Saccharomyces cerevisiae S288C: one gene and its partner. The gene in region 1 interacts genetically with each later gene. Each region holds a gene or a part of one and is shown on either strand. Other genes may lie near its edges.

The links. Genes that interact genetically often act in the same process or in processes that back each other up.
Region 2: of AFI1 (region 1) and CNM67, a mutation in one rescues a mutant of the other (synthetic rescue), as found in Saccharomyces cerevisiae (one study listed by BioGRID).

What each region holds. Positions count from the first base shown.
Region 1 is NC_001147.6:563,620-572,264, forward strand, and holds AFI1 (Afi1p), read right to left. Parts: upstream 5,940-8,645; coding exon 3,258-5,939; downstream 1-3,257. Other genes in the region: GTPase-activating protein RGA1, read left to right, coding at 1-574; phosphoribosylaminoimidazole carboxylase ADE2, read right to left, coding at 857-2,572; ORT1 (Ort1p), read right to left, coding at 6,310-7,188; YOR131C (putative haloacid dehalogenase-like hydrolase), read right to left, coding at 8,563-8,645. UniProt on the Saccharomyces cerevisiae protein: Involved in actin patch polarization. Required for maintaining a proper budding pattern in yeast cells. Required for proper polarized localization of the ADP-ribosylation factor ARF3 at the plasma membrane.
Region 2 is NC_001146.8:222,160-226,308, forward strand, and holds CNM67 (Cnm67p), read right to left. Parts: upstream 2,311-4,149; coding exon 565-2,310; downstream 1-564. Other genes in the region: JJJ1 (Jjj1p), read right to left, coding at 1-272; SQS1 (Sqs1p), read right to left, coding at 2,637-4,149. UniProt on the Saccharomyces cerevisiae protein: Involved in the pathway that organizes the shaping and sizing of the prospore membrane (PSM) during sporulation. Required for the proper formation of the spindle pole body (SPB) outer plaque.

The sequences.
Region 1 (8,645 bases):
AGACGAAGAAAATATGAGATCGGAGGGCATTTATAGAAAATCAGGTTCCCAGCTAGTCATAGAAGAAATAGAAAAGCAATTTTCTGCATGGAAAGTACAACAAAATACCGAAACGCCAAATATTTTAACGGAACAAGATCTCAACGTTGTTACTGGTGTGTTGAAGCGATACTTAAGAAAGCTCCCCAACCCTATCTTTACCTTTCAAATATACGAGCCGTTGATGAGGTTAGTTAAATCTAAAAAAATGATGGAAAACTTGCCATTTGTTGGAGGAAAGTTGTCCTTAGAAGCAAAGAATTCGGACACTTATATGTCGAGCAAGAGCGCTTTAAAAAACATATTGGAAGACCTTCCAAGGGAACATTATAGGGTGTTAAGAGTACTGAGTGAACATATAGAAAAGGTTACACGGTACAGTCACTGGAATCGAATGACGCTTTATAATTTGGCTTTAGTTTTTGCTCCAGGTTTGATTCGTGATTTCAGTGGAGAAAAGGATATTATTGATATGAAAGAAAGAAACTATATTGTCGCATTTATATTTGGGAACTACAAAGATATCCTGACGTAGCGCTATCCTCGGTTCTGCATTGAGCCGCCTTATATGAACTGTATCGAAACGTTATTTTTTTAATCGCAGACTTAAGCAGGTAATTATTCCTTGCTTCTTGTTACTGGATATGTATGTATGTATAATAAGTGATCTTATGTATGAAATTCTTAAAAAAGGACACCTGTAAGCGTTGATTTCTATGTATGAAGTCCACATTTGATGTAATCATAACAAAGCCTAAAAAATAGGTATATCATTTTATAATTATTTGCTGTACAAGTATATCAATAAACTTATATATTACTTGTTTTCTAGATAAGCTTCGTAACCGACAGTTTCTAACTTTTGTGCTTTGACAAGAACTTCTTCTTCTTGCTTTAATAAAAACTGTTCCATTTTCGTTGTATAACTTGAATCATAAGCGCCAAGCAGTCTGACAGCCAACAGCGCAGCGTTCGTACTATTATTAATAGCGACGGTAGCTACTGGAACACCTCTAGGCATTTGCACAATTGAATGTAAAGAATCTACTCCATCTAGACAAGAACCTTTTACGGGCACACCGATGACAGGAAGTGGTGTCATTGCAGCCACCATACCTGGCAAGTGAGCAGCCCCACCAGCTCCAGCGATAATTGTTTTAATTCCACGCTTGCTTGCGGAAATAGCATATGCTGACATCCTATGTGGAGTTCTATGAGCAGAGACTATTGTCACTTCAAATGGAACGCCAAAATCTTTTAAAACCGCACATGCGGCAGACATTACCGGCAAGTCAGAGTCTGATCCCATGATGATTCCAACCAATGGTTTGACCATTGCTTCCAAGTCCAACTTTTGAGCGACAGAGATTTTGATTGGAATATCAGTTCTACCTGTAATGTAGTTCAGCCTTTGTTCACATTCCGCCATACTGGAGGCAATAATATTTATGTGACCTACTTTTCTGTTAGGTCTAGACTCTTTTCCATATAAGTACACTGAGGAACCTGGAGTCGCCAATGCTCTTTCGCAAGTTTCTAGCTCTTTATCTTTTGTATGTTTGTCTCCAAGAACATTTAGCATAATGGCGTTCGTTGTAATGGTGGAGAAAGATGTGAAATTCTTTGGCATTGGCAAATCCAATATTGATCTCAAATGAGCTTCAAATTGAGAAGTGACGCAAGCATCAATGGTATAATGTCCAGAGTTGTGAGGCCTTGGGGCAATTTCGTTAATAAGCAATTCCCCTGTTTCTAAATAGAACATTTCCACACCAAATATACCACAACCGGGAAAAGATTTGATTGCATTTTCTGCCAACAACTTCGCCTTAAGTTGAACGGAGTCCGGAACTCTAGCAGGCGCATAACATAAGTCACAAATATTGTCCTTGTGGATAGTCTCTACAATTGGGTAAGAAAACACTAAACCGTTAACAGATCTCACAATCATGACTGCTAATTCTTTAGTAAATGGTGCCCATTTTTCGGCGTACAAAGGACGATCCTTCAGTACTTCCAAAGCTTCCGGAATCATTTCCTTATTCTTTACAACGAAGTTACCTCTTCCATCGTATGCCAAAGTCCTCGACTTCAAGACGAATGGAAAACCCAAATCTCTTCCAACATTCAATAGGGACGTCTCACTGGCTTGTTCCACAGGAACACTTTGGGTAACTGCTATACCATTTTTGATTAAATGCTCTTTTTGAATATATTTGTCTTGTATCAATCTGATTGTTTCTGGAGAAGGGTAAATTTTTAATTTGGGATGTTTTACTTGAAGATTCTTTAGTGTAGGAACATCAACATGCTCAATCTCAATCGTTAGCACATCACATTTTTCAGCTAGTTTTTCGATATCAAGAGGATTGGAAAAGGAGCCATTAACGTGGTCATTGGAGTTGCTTATTTGTTTGGCAGGAGAATTTTCAGCATCTAGTATTACCGTCTTAATGTTGAGCCTGTTTGCTGCCTCAACAATCATACGTCCCAATTGTCCCCCTCCTAATATACCAACTGTTCTAGAATCCATACTTGATTGTTTTGTCCGATTTTCTTGTTTTTCTTGATTGTTATAGTAGGATGTACTTAGAAGAGAGATCCAACGATTTTACGCACCAATTTATACATGAAATGCTCCATAATATTGTCCATTTAGTTCTTAATAAAAGGTCAGCAAGAGTCAATCACTTAGTATTACCCGGTTCGTAGCCATGCAACAAGAGTCATTTGTCAGCATAGCTGTAATAATCAATCATGACGTAAGAAATGTATCATAATTAAAAGTTGTTAAAGATGTCAGTGTTATGTTGGTGTTACAAAATTCTCGGCTTCTCACTAATATTTAATATCTCTTAAATTTTATCTGTCTTTGATTCTTTTAAGAAAAGTTATGTATTATTCAAGAAAAAGTCAATTCCGCATCAAAAGGTAAAATTTATATAAACTGCTTTAAAATTTCATGAAACTAGGCAACTTTTCGAAATGATCTTTTTCGAGCATGAAGTTTCTTTTATAATAACCTGGTCAAAAGCTTTCAATATATAATACATTTGGTATTTACGGAAATGAGATGATATACTGGTAGTGCGCTAGTCAAGTTCTAATTAAATTAAAATGCAAAATAGTAATGTCAGATGGACACATTGGGCGAAATAGCTAACCCATAAGCATGAATCCTGTAACTTATGTAATACGTTAATCACGATACGGCGTTACTAGTCTTCCTTTTGAGTGGTTTCTAATGTAGATTCTTGTTGTTCGTTAATTTGCTTCAAGCCGTTTAGCATTCCTGATTCGTTTGAAGATAGAGGAACAGATGCGCCAGCGAAAGATGATGATGCAATGGTAGAGGAAGTGTTGGTCGAATCTCCCTTTTTGGAAATAAAGTGTCGTTTTGATTCTAGATAGGCTTCTCGCAATTGATTGTGGAGATACTTCTTTAAAAGGGCCATACCTATGGGATGACATTCTAACCTATAGAGTAATTTCGTAATAGCATAGCAGATTTTTGACGCCCTTCTTTCTAGTAGAGGAGAAGCCCTTAGCTTGGGTGAGATGACTGAGGATGCGTTTGTAAATTCGGGATAATTGGAATTTCCAGTACCCTGCCCATTACCTCCCAGAATCCTTATATTAGGGCGTGTACTCAGTTGTAAAAACTGTCTCAATGAAGAAGATTGAGCAATTCTGGTCAAATACGTTCTTCTCCTGGACAGAGATTTTGTGAAGGGCAAATCCTGCCCACTTTCTTTTGTAATAAATGTGAGGAAAAACGCCAAGATATCAAAACTGTAAATTTGAGTAAAAAGATCTATTGCTGATACTATAACACCGTGGGGATCTTTTTCGATGCCCATATAGCTGTTAAAATTATCGAAACCCTGACGCACTTCGCTTTCAAAACTCCACCTAGAAATATTATCACCGTGTAACTGAGCTGTGGGTAATATTTTGAACGGAGAATAGTTCAAACAAGCGTTTAAAAACTTCTCAATGTTTGTCCTGCTTACCGATACCATGCGAAACAGCTCTTTAACAATGTCCAATATTTGGCTTAATTGGGAATATATTTGCTCTGTGGAAAATAACTGGCATGTGTTTCCTAAGCTAAATAAACAATTATCCAAGTTAGACAATAGTTCAATACTATGCAGTGTAAAATAATCAAAGAACTCCGGGAAAATGAAAAAATCTTTATAAAACATGATATATTCATCTTTTAGTGCTATATTAGGTGGAATTTCTCGTCTTTTCAAAGCGTCCAGAAGGTTTTCCAACTGAAGAACATTCAGCCTTCTCAAAACGCTCATGATAGTATCACTATCATGATATTCGTCGATAAGAAGAGAAAAGAGCTTCTGGCCCAAGTTTACCTGACTTTCGTTGACTGCGTTGGTTGAGAAATGAGGCCTATTGAATATCTTTCTCAAAGGGTTAGGCCCAATCTTCACTTCTGCCACTGTATCTGGCTTTTCTTTTTCTGGACTATTATTTTCATAAAACACTCCCTCATCCACATCGTAGTAATAATCCCAGATATCTAACTGGTATCGGAAAATTGGATTGGCAGTTCCGATAATTGCAAAGCATCCGACAAAATCACTATTCGATGCTACATACGCCCGCAAACCGTCAACAAGAGAAATGTCCATATAGGGAAAAATCAACGCAGCATTTCCTTTGAAGTATGATTGTGGATCGCTAGCATAAGTTGCCGTTATGTTGGCTAATGACAAAATAAAAGCGCATAGGTCTTCTTTACTCAGTTTAGTTGAATTGATGACTAACTTCCATGCATTAACTTTTTGTCCGGCTTTAAGAAGGTAAGGGACAAATTTATCCAAAAATTTTAAAACTAGTTCATTATAATCATTTTCAATATAAATAGGCTCTCTTCTAATCATATTAAATTGCAATGGGATTTTTAACAAAAATGGCGGGAGCGTCTTTGGCTGAAATCTTGTAAAATGATATTGAATGAGTTGGTCATGAAAAGTCACAATGTTACCATACTTGTCCTTAGTGTCAAATCCATTGATGCAAAAGAGTTTCTTTAAAGTGGAATCCGGGTCTAAAAATACTTTGGTAATGATAGATTCGTCATGGATAGAGTGTAGCACTTCTTGTATACTACTTTTGGAATGTATGTCATTAATCAATGTAAGGTCAATACTGTTTAGCATATTAAAGCAATCAAGCAGTATGTCTGTAGCAGCAGCTTGAGTGGGAGCTTTCATATACAAGTCTAACACTAATACAATAATATTTTTGAATGCAAAGAAGGTTTTTAATGGTGTTCCGATGGCAATCGACTTGATTACTGCCCCTCTATCGTTCGTGGTGTCTAATACTGTGTTGGCGACATTTATGAAAAATAAAGGTTCGTTGTCGATGGCTTTCTGATTATTCTGAACTTCCTGGCATTCGAGCTCATCATCTTCCAAGACAATAGTGTATCTATTATTTTTTGCATCTTGATGATTTTCGGCATCGTAATATATGCTATTGGTAACACTACCATCTGACTGTTCACGATGATGCAGATTGAAACTGAAACGAGGGTCTTTTGGCACAGGAAAGAGTTGATAGTTTTGAGTAAACTTATTGTAATAAAGGGTAAACACTGTAATATCTTGTTTGCCGGGATTTCTCTCTATGCTACTCGGTATCATTAAACTTGCCAAGTTCATAGACACCGACGTATTGCCGTTGCGTTGCTCATGTGAGAACTGATTGAAACCTGGAATATCTTTCGGGTATTGGTGCTTCAAAATAGGACCTAATTTATTATCAAATTCTGCGGATATTATATAGCTGACATTCGGCCTTTCAAAAGGAAAGGATTCATTTTCTATCGACCTGTTGCTGATAGAGTTATTTAGTTCTCTTCGCAACATCCGGTAGCCAAAAATGTTTGCGTACCAAAGACTCTAACAGTGGGCGGTACTATGCTTGATCTTGATTTTATAGAGCTTGCACTTTTATAGAAGAACCATTGCTACCTAGACAGTTTTTTTTGTTTACATTCGAATCATTTTTTTTTTTGCATTTAGTTAAATCCGAAGTCCTGACTAGATAATTTACTGTCAGAGAATAGTAGCATCTATGCAAGAAACTGGTATACAATAGTCGAGAGGTTGTTGTAAAAAACACAAAATACTAACACAAAGCCTGGCTGTTGAGATTGTGCGACATTCTTGATCAGTAAATGGTATTACAGACTGTCTATCAATGTTACATACTTGCTTATTACACGATTTATTGTATTTAAAGTGCAGAAAGAGTCTCAAAGATGTAAAAAACTGCAGCGTTTGCTGGTACTGCCCTAAAAAGGGTTATACCCAGTCCTCGATAAAAACCCTTTAGTCCAAATTTGCCAAATATCTTCTTCACCGCATTGGTGAGGCTTATATGTTCAGTTTGCATTACTGATTTCACAGTATCCGCAGGAAAAATACTGGCGTTGAATGCCAATCCAGCGCTCCCTCCACTAATAAGTAGTTCCCATATCTTACTTTCATCTCTTTTTGGGTCATCAAGGGAGTGCCTATCTTTCAACGACTTCTTAACTATTTCGTAGGTTGCAAACCAGGCAACACCACCGAAGCTTTCTCGAATAAAAGTGCCCGATTGCCCTTGCCACAATCCTGCCAATCCTCTCTCAGTTATAATTGCTTTTATTGTAGGCAACACCTTTGTATGTTTCGTTTTAGCTGATGCAACTTGTAAGTTCGCAACCTGCAACTTACACTTCACCAGCTCCACGGGTGTCAAAACTAAACTAGCACATGAACCCGCTACTCCACCAGAGATCAGGATTTGCCCCAACGGGGAAACGTTTGTATGTTTTTCTAAAAATTTAGAACATTGGTTATAAGACACAAATAATGTCGCGTTCTCCAGACATGCTCCAACTAAAGGTGAAGCAATGCCTTGAAAAAACCCTCGTGCTATTCCTTCATTTTGGTAAGTAAATTTTATACAAGACCATGTTGTTGGGAACACGTTGGATGCTTGTGTTTGCAACCTGACTTTCACAGTATCGAAAGGAAACTCGATCACCTTACCACAGGCGCCTGCAATGGAACCGTTTATTATATCGAGTATAGCGCCTTCTATTAATCCTTTCTTTTTACTGTCCTCCATTATACGTTGACCTTCCAGAATTTGAGTTCCCTATAGGTTAAAGAAAAGTTTCTACGACAAAGCATCTACGCTTTAACAATTAACTATACCCGTGCTTCGATAATTTCACACTTTTCTGAATCTATCGACGCCAGGAGCAGAGAACTTATCATTGGCGATTCTTGACGCTGCGGCCACAGCGGCCACAGCGGAAAACGTATATGTCACATTTTTCGAGCTCAAGGTGAGTCACGATGCAGAACTGGAACGTACTAGGACTAAGTTGCAACGATGAAACTACAATGCTACGCTTTCTTCGTGCTAAGTACTCATTGTATCCATTAATATGGTCCACAAAAAGGGTAGGCTGCTGTTGTGCTTCATTAAGACTGGTCAAAAACACGGATCCAGCAGCAACAGCACCTGCATGGATGGAATAGGATTGGTGCTAAATCACTTGGAATTAAACACAAGGATTTTGGTCGGCAATATTATATAAATATAGTCAGATGAGTGCTTCATTTTTGTTGATAAGTATTAATGAAGATTAAGTGTGGATAATACTGTCTTTGATACTATACATTTAATGTGACGAATTGTATGACTCGTATACATAACTACCAAAGCGTAGATCTTTAACTTATTTTCAGCACTGTCCGAAATGCTCAGTTAGCAGTTTAGTACATTCACGTTAAAACGTGTATGTTCGAATAAAAATCAACTCACTCATCGACTGATATTCATACTACTGGTATATTGTCATACGGTGTAAGAAGATGACATAAAATCGAAAAACAATGGTAAAGTATAATGGCAACTGAAATGCAAGGATTTGATAACGTCATAAAATGATGAAAAATATAAAATGGAGGGAGAAGTAACAGGTACGTAGAAATATTGGTTCCCTTTATGGATCCCTATATCATCGTGCAGAACTTCTCGTATATTCGATATACCTAAATTATAGCCCTTAACAATAATGAAATCCTAACGATTATCCCGAAAATTCACCTATTTCTCAGTATATGAAATGTACATTAACGTAAACACTCATCTTGCTACCATCATTATTTATATTGACATTAATGATCACTTGCTGCAACATTTTTTTATTTTTTCAAATCATATGAAACAAGTATTAATAAAAACACCGTTAACCCAACAATTAAAATCCGTGATAGTTTAATGGTCAGAATGGGCGCTTGTCGCGTGCCAGATCGGGGTTCAATTCCCCGTCGCGGAGATTTTTTTGCTGATTTGATGTGTTCTCGAACTTTGTGATGCCGAAAAAATCAAGGTAATTCCGCCATAGCTACTATATTAGCTCTAAAAAACATCTAAGAATAAAATGGTATTTCAATCATATGTACATATCTAAGTAAAGTTTTTTTTTTTTTAGAAACTTTCTTTATTCATATTTTGAATCAATTCAATTATTTCGGAAAGATCCTCTACTGAAACGTCTACTAGTTCTTTAT
Region 2 (4,149 bases), on another chromosome or scaffold:
GCGTCTACCTCATAATCATAGTAATCATCAGTGCTTGGTGGAGTATCATTTAAAATTTGTTCCTTATGTGAGTCATACCATGCTCTTTCCTGGGGGTCAGACAGTACTTCATAAGCGGCTCGAATCACAGCAAATTTTTGTGTGGCTTCTTCAACATTATCTGGGTTTTTATCTGGGTGATATTGTAGGGCCTTTTTACGGTAAGCTTTTTTTAACTCAAGATCAGAAGCATGCGTTTCGACCCCTAAAAGCTCATAGTAGCAGGTCTTCATCCGTTATTTTTGAAGTAGTAGGATATCACTATACTGATATTAACTCTTGGCTGGTCAGACTTTTACTATGTAAAAAGAGCTACTTTGCGATGACTTCAAATTTTTTTCACGTATATTTTTTTTCTATTCTTAAAACAAGAAAAAGTGTAAACATAAAATGTTGGCCGCTTAAGCCCTCCAATTTTACAACAAATGAATATTTTATACATACTTCCTAGAATATAATTTAATCTTATACCTTAATTTTTAGTTACAATTACAACAATTTATCTATTGACTCCGTTAATAAAAATTACTTCACCATCTTCTCCAGGATATGATCATACAGATGGTCCAGACACCTCTCCAAATGGTGATCTATGGAATCCATCCTGCGCGTTGACATAAAATCATAGTATGCTTGATCCGTAAATTTCTTTAGATTCATTTCTTGACTATATACTTGTCTATGCAGACGTTGAGCAAAATTGGACAGCATGATGTTTTCATATTTCAATTTGATAGCCAGCAACGGAATCTTTCGCCTTAACTTTGGATAAGGAATACCAACAGCCAAAACAATTTCTTTGACAGTATTTTGTAAAGTCGTCAAATTTGCTGAATCAATTTGTTCAACCATAAGGAAATTACATTCTTCTGCCGAAATATCGGGCCTTGACTGTAAGATATTTTTTATTGTAATCCTTTCAGAAGTATTTCCCTCTAAGTTTCCAAATCGCGACCTCAAATTATCCAGTTCCTTTGATAGAGTGTTTGTTTTCTTTTCAGCATCTGCTAGCATTTTTTCTTTATCCTTCAATGATGTTTCGTATTTTTCTTTGCTTTTTTCCCATGATCCTAGTCTTTCATTCAACCTTTCCAGCTTAATTTTTATTTCCTCATTACATCCTTTCAAAATTTCCTTCTCATCGATTGTCAACTTGTCAAATTTATCACATAGTATTTTGTTCTGTTTGGAAAGGGTTTTATTTGTACCAATTAAAGTATTATTTTTTTCTCTCATGGTCTGGATTTCAATTTTTTTATTCTCTAACTCATTTCGGAGATCCTCAGCTTCTGCTTTTGCATTTTTAAATCGCTGAGAAATGCGGCTCAGCTCTTCTTGCTGTGATGCACATAAAAACCCTTTAATATTAGGATATTTTTCTTGTAATATGTGATCTAATTTTGAAGAATTTTCCTCCGAGTCATACAAATCGAAAAACAATATACCAATCGGTATTTCAAACAGCTCGGCCTTTCTTAAGGAGTCAGTGAGACTTAGTAATGCAGTGTGTTTTGTCTGAATAGTATCATTGGCTTTTTCCAACATTTCTTTATTCAGCGAAAGGTCCTTTGTTAGGTTTTCAATCAATACTGTCTGTTCTTCAATTTTTTTTTTGTTATCTAAGGTTTTGTCGTTTGACTTCGTAGCTGCTTCGAGCTCCTTTTGTAAAGAGTTTGCTCTTTCCTCTTGTCTTAGATTATCTCTACCCAATTCAATAACTTTTTTTTGATACCCCAGTATCACATTTTCTAACATTCGAAAATCCTCTTTCGATAAGGAGTTTTGTAGAAAAATTTTGGCACCGTTACAGTCTTCTATCGAGATATCTGGCGATGTATGTTCATCAGTTGGTTGAGCAGAAGCCTGTTCATTTGCCCTCGTAAAATGCTTCGAAGAGTTTTCTCTAGGAGTAGAGTGTATGAAATTGGGTACATCCTTTTTATGAACATCAGTACCTATGGGAGACTTATCTTTTTCGTTTTTTGGTCGTTCTTGTAATCCTGGAGATTCCTGATAACTAGTATTTCTAGCATAATTCATTTGATCCATAGATGGTGATTTGTTCTCTTCATATGAGTCTCTAGCATTGGAAAAGTTGCAATTGATGACATCTTCAGGGTTAACGAATAAAGGTAAGATGGATTTTCCGACATGATTTTCATTTAGCCAGTTTTGTGGGATTGGCTCTCCGTCTTTAATTTCCCCATTCTCTGATACAGGAGAATCCAAACGCTCATGAAATGGAAAATTCATTAAATCGAAATCAGTCATGATGTACAAAAGACCTGTCACTATTTACTAGTGATTATTTTTTGTATGTGTAGATTTCTTCCCGAGGAACGTTAACGTTATTAGTTGTTTTATTACTATAAACGTTCCACAAAAAATTGCCTAACGCCTCACGTCGCGCAACGCGAATTTTCACAAGAAGATGTTATTTACAGTTACGATAATTGAATTGGATATGTAACGAGAAGTTGTACCTAAAACTCCGTATGTGTATATTACCATAGATTTTTCATGGTCTAGTCTAGAAAATAAAAAAATATGTATATACGCAATTGTTAAGAAAATGAGGATTAAAAGCTTGGAAAATATTAACTTTCACTGTGTCTTAAACCCGATCTATTCTTTTTAATTTTGGCAAAAATTGGTTCACTTATACCTTTATTGCCTTGAATACCAAGGCCCTCTCCACTTTTCCACCCAAGCTTTTCCAACATTCTTCTACCGATATTTTCGTTTCCAATCTCTGGAGCGTTTTGACCAACAATCTCACCTTCTTTAACATGAAATTTCCCTCTGATTGTTTTAGTTCTTTCGAAAGCAGCTTGTTCCTCCCTCGGTCTTCTTATATCTATTCTCATGAATACTGGCCTCTGCCTCATCAATTGGTCAATGAGACTATAATTCGGAGAAGACCATTTCGTTTTCTTTATTTTTTCTACAACAACCGACGTATGATTTGCTTTCCCAATTTTTGAACTCTTCATATTATAATGCTTCGCAATTTTCATTACGGTCTTGTTTCCATGAGGATCTAATGGAGGGAAAGTCAGTCTATCATTGTTCCTAGACAAAAAGGACTCAAATTCATCTTTAATATTTTGAATATGGAGTCCATATGGGTATTTCTTGAGCATATCGTTCGAATTTCTATTCTCCTGATCAATGAAATCTTCTTTGGCTTTTCTTTTCTTTGCTTTGGTTTCTATGCGTTTACTAAACTTACTTTGTAACGTCTCCAACGTTTCTGTATCCAGCGCTAAGGCGTCATCGATGAGTAGCTTCTTCTTCTTACCTTTACCCTTAGTTTCCAAGGACTTGGTTTCAAATGTTTTGAATCTTTCTGTATCATGTTTCAATGTGTATGCAATTAGGTCGTCCAGACCCTCTTCAATGTCGCTATGCACAACCGAGGAGGCCATATCTTCATCATCTTCATAGCTGTCGCCTTCATAGCTGTCACCTTCATCACTCGAATCAGAAATCGGAATATCTGAGTAGGTTGGCTCAGCTGGTTCAATTTTTGGTATAAGAGAATTTTTAATAAAATTCAAATATGCAGGTAATCTATCTTCAGGAAGACCTAACTCGTCTACAACGAAGTCTGTGAGTAAGTCCTGGTCAATCCAATGAAAGTCGTAATCTCCCAGTAATCTGTAACACCGTAGATAATATGAATTGTCTACTCCGCCCATTCTTATATTGGAGACCACTATGTCATTAGTATTTATGACAAAATCTTCTTCTTTGAATCCAAATTCTAACTCTTCGCTAGCAGGAGATGGCAGATTATCATTATTGCCTTCGAATGTTTTGGTACCATTTATTGAAAGACATTTTATATCTTCTGTCAACTGCGGACTAGGGCTTGGTAAAAGATTGTTGTCAGCTCGGGAATTGTGACGTTGGCCAACATAATTAAACCCTTGATCAACCTCAGAACTTGCTGAGGATTCGTATAAAGGTTCACTATTATTCTCTGTTTCTATTTCGTAGTCTAGTTCATCATTGTCCGAGTCGCTAGTATGCATACCATGTAATACGTTGGAAATGTAACCAGCAAATGGATGATATGTCTTATTACCCTTATTTGGAACGTCAACA